Linked DNA regions of Callithrix jacchus. Each later gene encodes a partner of the first gene's protein in a complex. Links are inferred from orthologs where the notes say so. Each region holds a gene or a part of one and is shown on either strand. Other genes may lie near its edges.

What was found.
Region 2: the proteins of CREBBP (region 1) and PPARA are in contact, whole or in part, in a crystal structure (PDB 9IWL), measured with the Homo sapiens proteins. The link is inferred for Callithrix jacchus from reciprocal best matches to the Homo sapiens genes CREBBP and PPARA. Residues at the interface, in NP_004371.2 of Homo sapiens: Asp62, Ala63, Ala64, Lys66, His67, Lys68, Gln69, Leu70, Ser71, Leu73, Leu74, Arg75; in NP_001001928.1 of Homo sapiens: Val284, Thr285, Thr288, Glu289, Lys292, Phe297, Leu302, Asn303, Gln305, Val306, Thr307, Leu309, Lys310, His457, Pro458, Leu459, Glu462, Ile463.
Region 3: the proteins of CREBBP (region 1) and IRF3 are in contact, whole or in part, in a crystal structure (PDB 5JEM), measured with the Homo sapiens proteins. The link is inferred for Callithrix jacchus from reciprocal best matches to the Homo sapiens genes CREBBP and IRF3. Residues at the interface, in NP_004371.2 of Homo sapiens: Leu2070, Thr2073, Leu2074, Lys2075, Ser2076, Ser2079, Gln2081, Gln2082, Gln2084, Gln2085, Val2086, Asn2088, Ile2089, Leu2090, Asn2093, Gln2095, Leu2096, Ala2099, Phe2100, Gln2103; in NP_001562.1 of Homo sapiens: Pro198, Gly199, Glu200, Glu201, Trp202, Glu203, Ser221, Leu322, Ile326, Leu329, Ile330, Thr333, Thr370, Cys371, Leu372, Ala374, Leu375, Glu377, Met378, Ala379, Val381, Gly382, Gly383, Ala384.

Annotation. Positions count from the first base shown.
Region 1 is NC_133513.1:5,846,348-5,850,334, forward strand, and holds part of CREBBP (CREB-binding protein), read right to left. Parts: intron 2,233-3,987; coding exon 2,067-2,232; intron 1,710-2,066; coding exon 1,542-1,709; intron 1-1,541. UniProt on the Homo sapiens protein: Acetylates histones, giving a specific tag for transcriptional activation. Mediates acetylation of histone H3 at 'Lys-18' and 'Lys-27' (H3K18ac and H3K27ac, respectively).
Region 2 is NC_133502.1:213,850,810-213,855,233, reverse strand, and holds the start of PPARA (peroxisome proliferator-activated receptor alpha), read left to right. Parts: upstream 1-1,399; 5' UTR 1,400-1,526; intron 1,527-2,762; 5' UTR 2,763-2,842; intron 2,843-4,424. UniProt on the Homo sapiens protein: Ligand-activated transcription factor. Key regulator of lipid metabolism. Activated by the endogenous ligand 1-palmitoyl-2-oleoyl-sn-glycerol-3-phosphocholine (16:0/18:1-GPC). Activated by oleylethanolamide, a naturally occurring lipid that regulates satiety.
Region 3 is NC_133523.1:43,428,448-43,433,080, forward strand, and holds the start of IRF3 (interferon regulatory factor 3), read right to left. Parts: upstream 3,026-4,633; 5' UTR 2,739-3,025; coding exon of another isoform or gene 2,732-2,738; 5' UTR 2,560-2,731; coding exon 2,466-2,559; intron 2,030-2,465; coding exon 1,857-2,029; intron 1,708-1,856; exon of another isoform or gene 1,626-1,707; intron 972-1,625; coding exon 800-971; intron 716-799; coding exon 645-715; intron 51-644; coding exon 1-50. Other genes in the region: BCL2L12 (bcl-2-like protein 12), read left to right, coding at 3,843-3,949, 4,166-4,308.

The sequences.
Region 1 (3,987 bases):
CCCTGTCGCTGCCATGCCACAGGCAGGTGTCCCCTCCTGGGGTGGGACCCAGCTGCGTTCTCCCTCAGAGCCCTCTCCCTACACCAGCAGGGGCTGTGTCCCTGTGCTGTCGAACATTTGTGAAAGGCTCAGAGCCAGGGCACCGGCTCTGACGGACCCCAGAGGAGCCTGATGGCCCAGATTCCTTCTTCCGCAGTGACCCCCAACCCTGTACAGGCCTGCAGCAGCTCTCATCAGGCCACCTCCTGCCGTGGCATGTGGGACACAGAGCCTGGGTTCGCAAAACCAGCTGGTCGCTGTCATGCTGATTACAAATACCTCCCCCTTCAAAGCCTATCTTGGATGTGGTATCCTCCAGAGTCACCCTTAGGAGGTGGAACTTGAGCATTAACTCACCAGAAACCAGTAAAGCTAGCTACGCTCCAGCAGGAGCAAGTCAGAAAACAACAGGCCTGGAGCTCTGCTTAGGAGCCATCTAGAGCATAAACCTGCACAGGACCCTGCCCGTGCTTCCTCTGTCCAGCAAATGACACTCTGGGGTGCTTTTTAGCAGGTGGCCATCTCTCAACCACTGGTGCAGTGAGCACGAGAGTGCACGGTGGAAGGAGCCTAGGCTCCACTGAGCCCACAGACCCGGCACCCACCTCACAGCCCTGCTCTCACATGCGACAGGCACTGCAGCAGCAACAGGTCCCCAGTTGGTGCCTGGCTGCTTCACCCCTGGCAGCTGCTCAGGCCCATGCAGGAGCCGCCTCTGTTCATGGCTTTTCCTCACCAGTCACAATGGCCTGTCCCAAGTTCTGGGGCTGCAGTCTTCAACATTTGTCACTGCTCTCCCTGCACCTACAGCTATAGCCCACACCCACGCCACCACCATCTCTTCCCCAGACAGCCATACAACCCTGCACACAGCACGCCTCCTCCCACTGCCTGGCGGGTCCTCTCCCCACACCATCCTGTGGTGGGCAGGTCTGGCCCACTCTTTACCTCCTCAAGGTTCCTTCCCCTTCACAGCTCCACCACAATCGGAGCACACCACACTGGGGTCTGGGCTCTTTTTGTTTCTCTTACCAGGACACAGCTAACCCCTTGGGGGCAGACATGGGGTTTTGTTTGGCTCACTCTGCACTGCCTGGCACTCAGGGGCAATACTGAGGAGAGAGAGCAGGAGGGCATGAGCACCACATGCAGAGCAGCCACCAAACATGGGTACAAGGCCTTGGCAACCTGGTGCCTCTTTCTCGAGTCACTTTTTACATCAGTGGGTTGTGTCCTGACTGCCATGTGACCTCTTTTCTGCCTTCCTCTCTCTGCTCTCCAAGTCCAAATGGACCCCCAGCCCCAGAGAGCATCCACTGAGCAGAGGGTGCAGCGCCCACACTGCTGCCCACCAACGCCACATGCTGCAGATAGTGTCAGTGCACGTGTGTGAACAGAGACACCACTGAAAGGACCTAACAGCCAACACGTGCTTCCCAGCCTGCCACCCTGGCAGCTCCGGCGGGCTGTGTGGGCAGGCGGGCTTGGAGGAGGACCTGTACCTCGGTGGTTTCACTGGCTGCGGTGCTCTCTTCCTTTTTCCTCTCCTCTTCTTCTTGTTCTAGTTCCTTAATGCTCTCTTCTAACACATTGGGCCAGAAATCACCTTCAAAATAGGGCAGTTCCTTGGCACTGGTGAGTCTGTCTTCAGTTGCTTGTTTGAAAATGTCCTGCGTGGGCAAAGCACAATGAGATGAGGGCCATGCATGTGGGCCCCAGCATGGAGCAGCAGACCCCCCTGCATGCACGCCCCTCACCACAGTGCTGGCCCCCCCCATGTGTGCAACAGTTATGCACAGGCCCCGAGGCCCAGCGATGAAAACAGCACAACTGTGCGGCCCTCGGACAGCCAGGGCAAAGCCCATCAGCCGAAGAAAATGCTTCTAAGTTCTCACTTTATGCTTTTTCTGCTTTCTAATCCTCGTAAGTAAACATTATTATCAAGTATGTCAATGCAAGAAAGAGACACGTAAGTAACCTTCACTCAGCTGTGACAAAAGCCACCACCTTCCTTCAGCACCAGGTACCTTGTAGTCATGAATGATCCGCTCTGCAAACGCCTTGTCCAGCATCTTTTTGTACCATTCCTGCAGTCGTTTTGGCTTGGGGATTTTTTGATCAGGTGGGTGGCAGTGGAAGATATAATCATCTCCTTCACTTGGAGGACAGGCCCAGATGTGCCCTGTCACATACCTGCAGGACACACACACATCACATGGAAGCGCCAGTGAAATTGGCCCTGCCTTTAAGAAGTCATAGCAGAAGAGCAAGGACTCAAGCCAGGACAAAAGTAACCAGAAAGAGGAGAGAACGAACACCCACAATGCTGGAACTTCCTCCAGCATTGGCGGCAAGGCTGGAACTTCCTCCTGAGCAAATGCAAGCCTAGAATCCTGCCCTGAAATACTTCTCTCTTGGGGTGCACACACAGGGCAGGGCCAAGCCTGCAAAGGAAACCTGAGGCCTCATTAAAGAGCCAGGGAATAGCCGGGTGCGGTGGCTCACGCCTGTAATCCCAGCACTTTGGGAGGTCAAGAGATCGAGACCATCCTGGTCAACATGGTGAAACCCCCTGTCTCTATTAAAAATACAAAAAATTAGCTGGGCACGGTGGCGCGTGCCTGTAATCCCAGCTACTCAGGAGGCTGAGGCAGGAGAACTGCCTGAACCCAGGAGGCGGAGGTTGGGGTGAGCGGAGATGGCGTCATTGCACTCCAGCCTGGGTAACAAGAGCGAAACTCTGTCTCAAAAAAAAAAGAAGAACCAGGGAATATGATGGCTCATCAAGGCAACGCCATCCCCTTCCTCCTGAGCTAGCAGTTCAGCTGACTATTTCTCTCTCTGAGAGTCAATGTCAACATAGTATCATTCATTCTGTTCAAGACACTTTGATCAAATGCCCCTAACCTTTTCAAGATTCAGAAAGGAATGGGGCAGGTCTACAGTACAGAAACCAAGCGCTAGAGAAGAAAACCAGACCCAAGACAGCAGGCACTGCAGGGTTCTGTTTACACAAAGGATCCAGAAAAGACAAATTCAGAGAGACAACAAGTAGATTAGTGGTCACCCATGGCAGAGATGGGACAGGAATTAACAGCAAGGGGCAGGAGGAATTTTTTTTTTTATTTTTGAGATAGAGTTTATCTTTTTGCTCAGGATGGAGTGCAATGGCACGACTGGCTCACTGCAACCTCTGCCTCACTGGTTCAAGTGACTCTCCCTGCCTCAGCATCCCAAGAAGCTGGGATTACAGGCGTGCACCATCATGCACAGATAACTTTTTTTGTGTGTGAGACAGGGTCTTGTTCTTGTTGCCCAGGCTGGAGTGCAATGGCACAATCTCGGCTCACTGCAACCTCCACCTCCCAGCTTCAAGCTATTCTCCTGCCCCAGCTTTCCCAGTAGCAAGGATTACCCTAGGCACCCTCCCCCATGCTCTGGCTAATTTTTTGTATTTTTAGTAGAGACAGGGTTTCACCATGTTGGTCAGGCTGGTTTCCTCCTCTGACCTCTGGTGATCCACCTGCCTTGGCCTCCCAAAGTGCAGGGATTACAGGCATAAGCCACCACACCTGGCCAAATTAAAAAAAAAATTTTATTTTATTTTTTGAGACACTGTCTTGCTCTGTCACCCAGGATGGAGTGCAGTGGCGCAATCTCGGCTCAGTGCAATCTCTGCCTCCCAGGTTCAAGTGCTTCTCCTGCCTCAGCCTCCTGAGTAGCTGGGATAATAGGCATGCCTGACTAATTTTTGTATTTTTAGTAGAGGCAGGGTTTCACCATGTCTGTCGGTCAGGCTGGTCTCGAACTCTTGACCTGTGATCTGCCCACCTTAGTCTCCCAAAGTGCTGGGATTACAGGCATGAGCCACCGCACCTGGCCTTTCTTTGTATTTTTAGTAGAGACGGGGTTTCACCATGTTGGCCAGGCTGGTCTTGAACTCCTGAC
Region 2 (4,424 bases), on another chromosome or scaffold:
TCAGCTTCCCTCACCAAGCACAACAGGGTGACAAGCTTTGATGTGGCTGCTGGCACATCCCACGAGATATCCAGGATATTAACTGTATGGATCACACTGTAAACTCTGAAACACAACATGAATCTGTGCTATTGGTGGCTAGCATGTGCAAGAAAAGCTGAGCCTGCCATGTGCCAGCGGGAAGGATACGTGGGAGGGTCTGGAGGGTGGGGCAAAGTTCACCATAGTTGCCTGGCTAATCAACAAGGGTGAGTTTAAGGGAAGTCTGTGCAAGGGCCAGTTCCTGCCTGGTCTGCAGTTCCCCAGCCTAATGAGATTTGCGTTTCCTTTCCGGAGTGGGTCCTCCTGGGACCACAAATAGCACAGTGGCAGGCGCAGCTGGCAGTGGGGCTGGCATAGCACACATTTCGTTCCCGAGGAGGGGCGCCCTGATGTGCCGGCACCCAGGGGCTTTGTGCATTCCGCGCAGAGAGCTCGGGCGTCACAGCGCGAACAAAGCGGCTTTGCAGGGCGCTCTCCTACTCCTCGCCATTGGCCGCCGGGCCGCGACCTCTCCCTGCGCTGGCAGAGTCCCAGCGCCTTGCGTGGGCACAAAGTCAGCCCCTCATCACCCCCCCGGGCACGGAGTAGGGGGCGCGCATGGCTCTCGGGCCACTGGAGATGGGTGGGAATGTGGGATCGGAGCTAGCGGCTCCTCCCCGAGCCCGTCCGCGTTGCCCTTCACCCTCCTCGTTCCCCCGCCCGCCACACCACCCTGGCACCTCCTGCCACCTGTTTCCTCGTCCTCCCAGCTCGCCTTCCCCTTCCCCTTATTTTGCATCCTAGGGTTCCAGGGACAAGGTCCTTCCCGGCCTGCCTACCACCCCACGCACTTTGGAGGCTCAAGGGCACCCGGTCCCGGATCTAGACCCGCTCATTGCACCGAACGGCGGAGCCCAGCTCCCGGAGGAGGCAGGAGGGACTCGCCAGCGTGGCACGGGCGCTCAGCGGGAACCTCCACCCTCCCTGCGGCCGCGCGTCCCCTCCTCGAATTCAGCCCCATCGGGTGCGCGGGGCTGCAGGGGCGCCCACGCTCAGCGGCGTCCCGGCGGTGACCTTGGAGGGCTCCTCCACCTATTCGGCCTCAGTTTCCCCTGGTTGCAGCGGACGCGAGGCACTAGGTGGGAGCAGCGGAGAGTTCCCGGGGCCCCGCCCCCTCGAGCAGCCAATCGGGCGCCGCCGTCCGGGGGGTGTGTCCCGGGGCCGGAGCCCGGGCGCCCCGAGGGCGCGCGGGGCGGGCGGGGCTTCCGGGTCGGGCCCGGGGACAGGAGCCCGCGCGGACCGGGGCGGGCCGAGGGGCGGTGCGTGTGGCGGGGGCGCGGCTGGCACGGACGCGCGGAGGCGGCGCCGGGCATGGGCCGTGGACGCGGCGGCCCCGCGGCAGGGGCAGCGGGCGGCGGGGGCGGAGGCGGCCGCTAGCGCCCTGCCCGGCGCCGCCTCCTTCGGCGCTCGTCCCACGGACTGGCAGGCGGCGGACCGCGATCCAGGTGCCCGCGGGCGGAAGGGCGCGCGCGGGGGTCCGCCGGCAGGGCTTCCCCAGTCCCGGGACCCAGACGGCGGCGGACGGGGGAGGGGCAGGGGCTGGGCGGCGCATGCGCGGGGCCCGGGGTCTCGAGGTCTCGGGGGCCCGGGGATCCAGGGTCAGGGTGCGCGGCCGGAGACGTGAGGGCGAGGGGCGAGGACACACGCCGAGGACTCGTGCAAGGGGTCCCGGGGCCCTGCTCGTCCTCCCTCCTACCGCCGGGGCCCTGCCTGGAACCGTAGACTCCACGGCTCTCCATGGGGCTTGGCGCTGCGCGGAGGTCGGGTCTGGCGACCGCAGCGACTCTAAGTCTTCGGCTTGTCCCTTGGGAGGGAGGCTCTCGGGCGGGACATCGGGGCTTGCCCATCCCTCCGCGCCGTGGCTTCCCAAGACCCCCAGGGATCCCTGAGGCAGGGAAACCCGGGCCCGGACTGACCGACCCTGGGTGGGTGCGCCCGGCGGCTGCCGCCGGACCAAGACGCGCGTGTTAGCTCCTCCGGCTGTGACCGCCTTAGAGGAACGCTTCCCGCTTGGTGCCCCAACGCGGCGGGGTGACCCCCGGCAGCCCGAACGGGCTGCTCTCGGCCGGGTGGCTTCTCTGCGGAAGCCGCGCCATGTCGCTCCCGGTGGGGGCCGCTGCGGGTCTGGCGCGGGCATTCCCAGGTCTTTCCGGAGTCCTGGGCTGCGCGGCCCGCGTGGTGCGAGTGAAGCCGGAGGGGCGCTGGGTGGTGCCGGTGGGAGTCAGGAAGGTCCGCTCTGCCCCGTCTCCCACCCCAACTACCAGGGCACACCTGCGTGCCTGCGCGTTTCTGAAGCCTGCTTTAAAAGTTAAACGAGAGGAAGTGTGCTCCCAGTGCCAGGATTCTTTCCAAGAAAAACCCACAGTTGTCTAACCGGCGGGCTTCATGCGACCCTCCGGGACTGCGTGCCCACCTCAGCCCCAGCTGCCCCACCGACTCCCCCCCCCCCCCCCCCCGCCCAGGAAACCAGGGAGGCCTCTCCTCTCCCAGCCCGCTTGGGATAAGGGTGCCCTGGAGAACCGGGTCAGGGCAAGGGCACGGGTTTTCCTGAGAAGGACCGTGAGACACCTGTGTGGTTGTGGGGCAGGGGCAGGGTGACTTTCCTTTTCCAAGGTGGTGGAGAGTTGGGGGCATCCAGAGAACATAGCGTAATCACTTCCTCCTCCATCTTCTTCCTCCAGGCTGAAGCTCCGGGCCCAGCCTGCTCTGTGGACACACAGTTTGCGGCAAGACAAGCTCAGAACTGAAGTTGTCACCACAGGTAAATAGAAAGCTTGATTTACTGTTTCCAGATGGAAGTATTTAAGTGTGCTGTGTTTATTTCTGTTGTGCCGCAGACCAGCAATGTGGAGGTTAATTATTATTACTTCGGGATGCAACCTTAGATACGTTTTCAGACTGAAAGTAGCATACATGGGCATGGATTCCCTTTTTTTTTTTTTTTTTTTTTCCCGAGATGGAGTCTCCCTCTGTCGCCCAGGCTGGACTGCAGTGGCACAATCTTGGCTCACTGTAACCTCTGCCACCCGGATTCAAGTGATTCTCCTGCCTCAGCCTCCTGAGTAGCTGGGATTACAGGTGCCTGCCAACCTACCTGGCTAATTTTTGTAGTTTTAGTAGAGATGTGGTTTCACCATGTTGGCCAGGCTGATCTTGAATTCCTAACCTGGTGATGTACCTGCCTGGGCCTTCCAAAGTGCTGGGATTACAGGCATGAGCCACCCCGCCCGGCCTAAGATTCACTTTTAAGTTCTGAGGTACGGTGTCAGTTTTGCCAGGAACTTCATTGCTTCATGGCAGCCATGTTTTAAATTCATGTTATCAATTTAAAACTTGATAACATTAACTTTGAGAAATGTGAGTGCTTAGCAGACACTTGGGACATCCACACCAACTGGAACAGAGCTGTTTTCATTGTGATTTGATTATTAAGCAGGTGGCTTGTTGGGCAAGGCCCATGACAGAACATGCCAGGGATGGGCTGAAGATACAGGCCAGACGATAGGATGTGTGTGGTCACCATCCGTGAGAGGCCAGGGACAGAGGGGCTGAAGGTGACCTGTGCAACTCTGAAGCAAAGGTAAATTCACTGGCAAGCAAGGCACGGTCTCTCACTCCTGTAATCCCAGCACTTTGGGAGGCTGAGGTGGGAAGACCACTTGAGGCCGGGAGTTTGAGACCAGCCTGGCCAACATGGTGAAACCCCATCTCTACAAAAAAAATATAAAAATTAGCCAGATGTGGTGCCAGACACCTGTAATCCCTGCTTGAGCCTGGGAGGTGAAGCCGAGATTCTGACACTGCACTCCAGCCTGCATGACAGGGCAAGACTCCGTCTCACAAAAATAAAATAAAATAAATTAATTAATTAATTGACAGTAGAAAAAATGTTTTCTTTTACCTCTTTCTTTCTTTTTTTTTTTTTTTTGAGATGGAGTTTCACTCTTGTCAGCCAGGTTGGAGTGCAGTGGCGTGATCTTGGCTCACCGCAACCTCTGCCCTTCTGCTGCCTCAGCCTCTTGAGTAGCTGGGATTACAGGCATCCACCACCACACCCAACTAATTTTTGTATTTTTAGACGCGGGGTTTTGCCATATCGGCTAGGCTGGTCTCTAACTCTTGACTTCAGGTGAATCACCCACCTCAGCCTCCCAAAGTGCTGAGATAGGCTGGGCGCAGTGGCTCACACCTGTAATTCCAGCACTTTGGGAGGCTGGGGAGGCCAGATCATGAGGTCAAGAGATTGAGACAATCCTGGCCAATACGGTGAAACCCTGTCTCTACTAAAAATATGAAAATTAGCTGAGCGTGGTGGCGTGCACCTGTAGTTGCAGTTACTCAGG
Region 3 (4,633 bases), on another chromosome or scaffold:
GGGAGTGGGGCCAAGACCATGTTACCCAGTAACTCATCCAGAATGTCTTCCTAGAGGGAAACAAAAAGAGAATTAGGCATTTCCACAGCCTTTTCTGGAGACTAAATGTGGACCAGGTCTGTTCTCAGCAGTGCAGGGAGGTCAGGCTTGAGCTCTGCTTTCAGAGGGCTTCCAGTCTGGGGACAGTGGCAGCCACGGGCATCAATAGCCAAATAGACACTCTAATGAATGCCACATGCTACCATTCCAACCCCAGGATCTGGCTTTCTGCAGGCAAGGCCTGGGCAGAATTTCAGAGGGGATGCTCCCCTGGCTCTGACAGCGGCAGGATCAAGGGGAGGGAGGGAGGTTTTCAGTTCCCAAGAGGCTGACAGACAGCCGTCCCCCCACTCCCCCCCTCCCCCCGCCAATCAAGGATCTACAGGAAATCCCGGGAAGGCGTGTCAAATGCAAATTGAGTGCCTTCAATGCCAAGTGAAGACTGAATTTTCTCCTGAGGAGACTGGAGCATGGGACAGACAGGGCCAGCACTGGCTCAGGTGAGGGGCAGACGAGGTGAGGGAGGCGCACTGGTCCACAGGGAGAGGATGAGTCCATGGGAACAGGACAGACAGTGGGGGCGTGAAGGTTGGGCACATTCTTACCTGGGTATCAAAAGTACTGCCTCCGCCACTGGTGTCTGGAGATGTGTCTGGCTGGGCAAAGTTCCCAACTGCTGTTGAGAAAGGTGTTGAAGTGGCTAGGGGTGCCAGGAACCCTTGGGACCCCAGCCTCCCACACTGACCCCGATCTGGCAGACCTGAGTTCACAAACTCGTAGATCTTATGTGGGTCGTGAGGGTCCTTGCTTCGGTCATCTGCTAAACGCAATCCATCTTTGCGGTTGAGGGCAGAACGGAAATTCCTCTTCCAGGTTGGCGGGTCTGGCTTATCTCTCCCGGGAACGTATGCACCAGTGGCCTCAGCCCAGGCCTGGGGCAACAGTGGTGTGAGGATAGTGAGAGAGGACGACCTAGATCCTGTCCCGGAGCCCCAACCCTGTCTCCGGCATCCTAACACCACCCTCTTTCCCTGGCAAGTTGTAACTCTGCAAGGTCCATCCCCAAATCCCCCCATCCCACCTACCTCCATCCCCACCTCTAGTTTTCTAGAATGATCTGCCTGCCTCAGCCTCCCAACGTGCTGGGATTACAGGCGTGAGTTACCGCGCCCCGCCTCTTCAAAAGCCTTTGAAACCTCTTTTGTTTTTAACGAGACGGGGCCTGTGTTGCCCAGGCTGGTCTCAAACTCCGGGGCTCAAGCGATCCTCTAGCCTCGGCCTTGCCAAAGTACTGGGATTCTATGTGAACCACCGCGCCCCCCAAAAACCTTTTCTTTCTAAGCCAGGCTTTCAAGTCCTACTAACCCCGTGCACCACCTGCCTCAGGACACCCTCGGTGATAACCTCGTCCCTCACACTGTTTACCACGTCTGGCTTATACTAATTCGGTGGTTAGGAACCCCAGATTTGGGGCTCCAAGTCTCACCTCTGATGTTTCAAGAACAATCCCCCAGGATCCTACTACTAGGAACCCCGGCCCCTAGAGAGCTCCAAACCCATAGGATGCATTTTCATTGCGTACTAACCCGGCTCTCCCAGTTCTAGTTCTATTCCCGGAACCGGCAACTCCGACCCTCCCGGCGCCCCCATCAGTCAGCTGATCCGGCTAGCCCCGCCCCTCCCGTTCTGGCCCCACCCACCAGCGTTGACACGAGCCCGCCCCTCGCGCGCTACCGCCGCCTTCTCAACCCTGCCTCTCGGAGTCTTTCCCGCCCAGCGCGCAGCTCCTGGTTTCCAGCGTCCCTGGTCGCACGCACCTGGAAGATTCCGAAATCCTCCTGCTGTGCATCATGCCGTAGACCGTGTTTCCAAGGGATGCGGAAGCGCGTGCGGCTCTCATTCACCCAGGCCACACCCTCCAGCTGCCCCAGATTCAGCTGCAACTCCAGCCAGGGCAGGATCCGTGGCTTTGGGGTTCCCATGGTCCGGCCTGCGCGTACAGGGCATTTCCTGGGCGCGGCCGGCCTCTCCTGGACCCACCTGGCCTGGAGTTTCCGCGCCCAGAACTCCCTGTCATGGGCTACGGCACAGGTCCTTCACCCATGTTTTCGGGGGTACAAACAGGAAACCTCCTCTTCCCATCCTCCCATCCGCCAGAGAGGCTCCCTAATCAGCTAGGGTTCCTTCCCCTATCCATGGCACACCCTTCCCCAGCGACTTCAGTACAGACCCTCCACTCCCTCAATTCTGCCAGTGTAGACCCCCTCTTTCCCCATATCGAAAGCAAGTAACCCCACTTTCAGGGTAACATCTCTTTCCCTAGCTATGTCAGTGCAGAATCGATTCACTTGTAAGCCTCTACCGCCTGCACTTAGCCCAGTGTAGACCCCCTTCCACAGTCCCCCTAGAGAAGATCCCCTACCTACTTCCAACGCAGAACCTCCATCCACAATGCTCCCTCGACTGCCAGCCTCCCTCCTCCAGAGCACGCCTCAGCTTTCGAGAGCGAACTGCCCGCATCTGCGGAGTCCACCCCTCCCTCTCTAGATCTCCCTCAGTGTAGACGCCTCCTCTTTCTCTTCCCTCCCTACTTTTTCTAGTTTTTCTGCAACAGACCTCCAGCGCCGGCCACTCCCTCCTTTCTCCACTTTCCCCAGATTATACAGCCTGCCTTTCCACTTTCCGTACAGACCCATCATCTTTCCCGCTCCTCGTTCTCGAACGCCACCAACGCTCTCCCGGGCTCTTCCGCGTTACCTACGATGGAAGGTCGGGGCGTGCGGGGAGCTGGAGCCCACCCGTCTTGGGGCTCCGGGTAGCTCTCAAACTCGAGGCTGAACACCCGCTTTCCCGTCAGCTGAGTTCTAGAGCGCTGGGACTTTCTTTTCCAACGACTTCTTGAAATAAAAACAACTTTATCATTCTTTGAGTGACAGAACCCAGAGCCGAAGGGACAGGCCGTAGGGCCCGGGCTGTCCCCGCCCCCATGCCCTTTTTCGGCTTTCCGGCCAGAGGCATGCTGGGAGCGTCAAATGCAAATTGAGCGTGCAGCCAGCGTTCCGCCTTTTCTACGTTGGGCCGGTTACCCACCCGGCCCAGTGCGCAGGGGCGGGAAAGTTGACCTAGAAAGTTTTGTACGAGTTGAGTGAAGAAGGCGGCAAGTTGAGTGGAGGTGGCGGCGGTGGGGCCCCGGACCAGGTCAGCGGAGTGTTGCCGAGGGTCGGGGTGTGGAGGGAAGAGGAGGCGGCCGGGATGCAGGAGTGAGAACCCAGTCCCGCTTCTCCGACATCCAAGTGTATATTCCAGGAGCAGGAGATTTGGAAATACACCTCCCAGCAGGCTGTGCGGCGAAGAAGCGGGGACCGAGGAGAAGATTTGCCGTAAAGCCTGCTGGGATTGGTAGTTCCCGATGCTTTAAGAGTTTGAGTAGTTCGGCATATACCTCTTTCAGAATCCAGGAGTTGGGGCGCTAAGCCCCTTCTCCCTGGGAGACATAAGGGTCAGGGGCTCCAGTTCCTTTCTCTCTAAGACTCAGGAATCTAGGACCCTAGCTCCCTCCTCCTTTAGGTCCACGAATCTGGGCACCCACCCCCTAGCTTTCCTTGGATTAATGAGTCTGTCCTGTTCCCTCTTCTGTCTGAGGACTCAAGAGTCTAAGCGCCCAGACCCACACTCTCCAAAGGACCCAGGAGTCCGGGCCCTCATCACCTTCCTTGGGACTCACAACTCCCGGTCCTCAAGCCTCCACTTCTCGATAAATCCTTGGAGTTCAGTCCCTAGCCCCCTCTCTCATAGGTGCCTCCATGGCAGGCTCAGAAGAGCTGGGTCTCCGGGAAGACACGCTGAGGGTCCTAGCTGCCTTCCTCAGGCGTGGTGAGACTGCCGGGTCTCCTGTTGCAACTTCACCCAGGTAACAGGAGTTGTGCTTCTCCCCGAGGGGCCAGGATTTGAGGCCCCCTCCTAACTCTTGCTCCTGGTCTCAGTCTCTCTCCTCTCTTTATATCTGACTCTATTCTCTGTCTTTGGGGTTTTGGAGAGAGGTCCTCAGTGGGGGAGGGAGTGAGTTGAGAAAAGTGACTTACAGAGGATCTCTGGTGGGGTCACTCTCTGAAGTCCTCCTCCCCAGAAGCCCTGCCCCAGAAGAGCCAACAGACTTCCTGAGCCGCCTTCGAAGATGTCTTCCCTGCTCCCTGGGGCGAGGAGCAGCCCCCCCTGAGTCCCCTCGGCCTTGCTCTCTGCCCATCCGCCCCTGCTACGGTTCAGAGCCTGGTAAGAGATTTCCATGATCATCTGTGAAAGTGGCAGAACATGGGATAAGGTAGTAGTTTAAGATTATTTAACTATGACCAGGCACGGTGGCTCATGCCTGTAATCCCAGCACTTCGGGAGGCCAAAGTGGGCGGATCACAGGCGGTCAGGAGTTCAAGACCAGCCTGGCCAACATGATGAAACCCCATCTCTACTAAAAGTACAAAAATTAGCCTGGCGATAGTGGCAGGTGCCTGAAATCCCAGCTACTCAGGAGTCTGAGGCAGGAGAATCACTTGAACCCAGGAGGCGGGGGTTACAGTGAGCCAAGATTGTGCCACTGCAC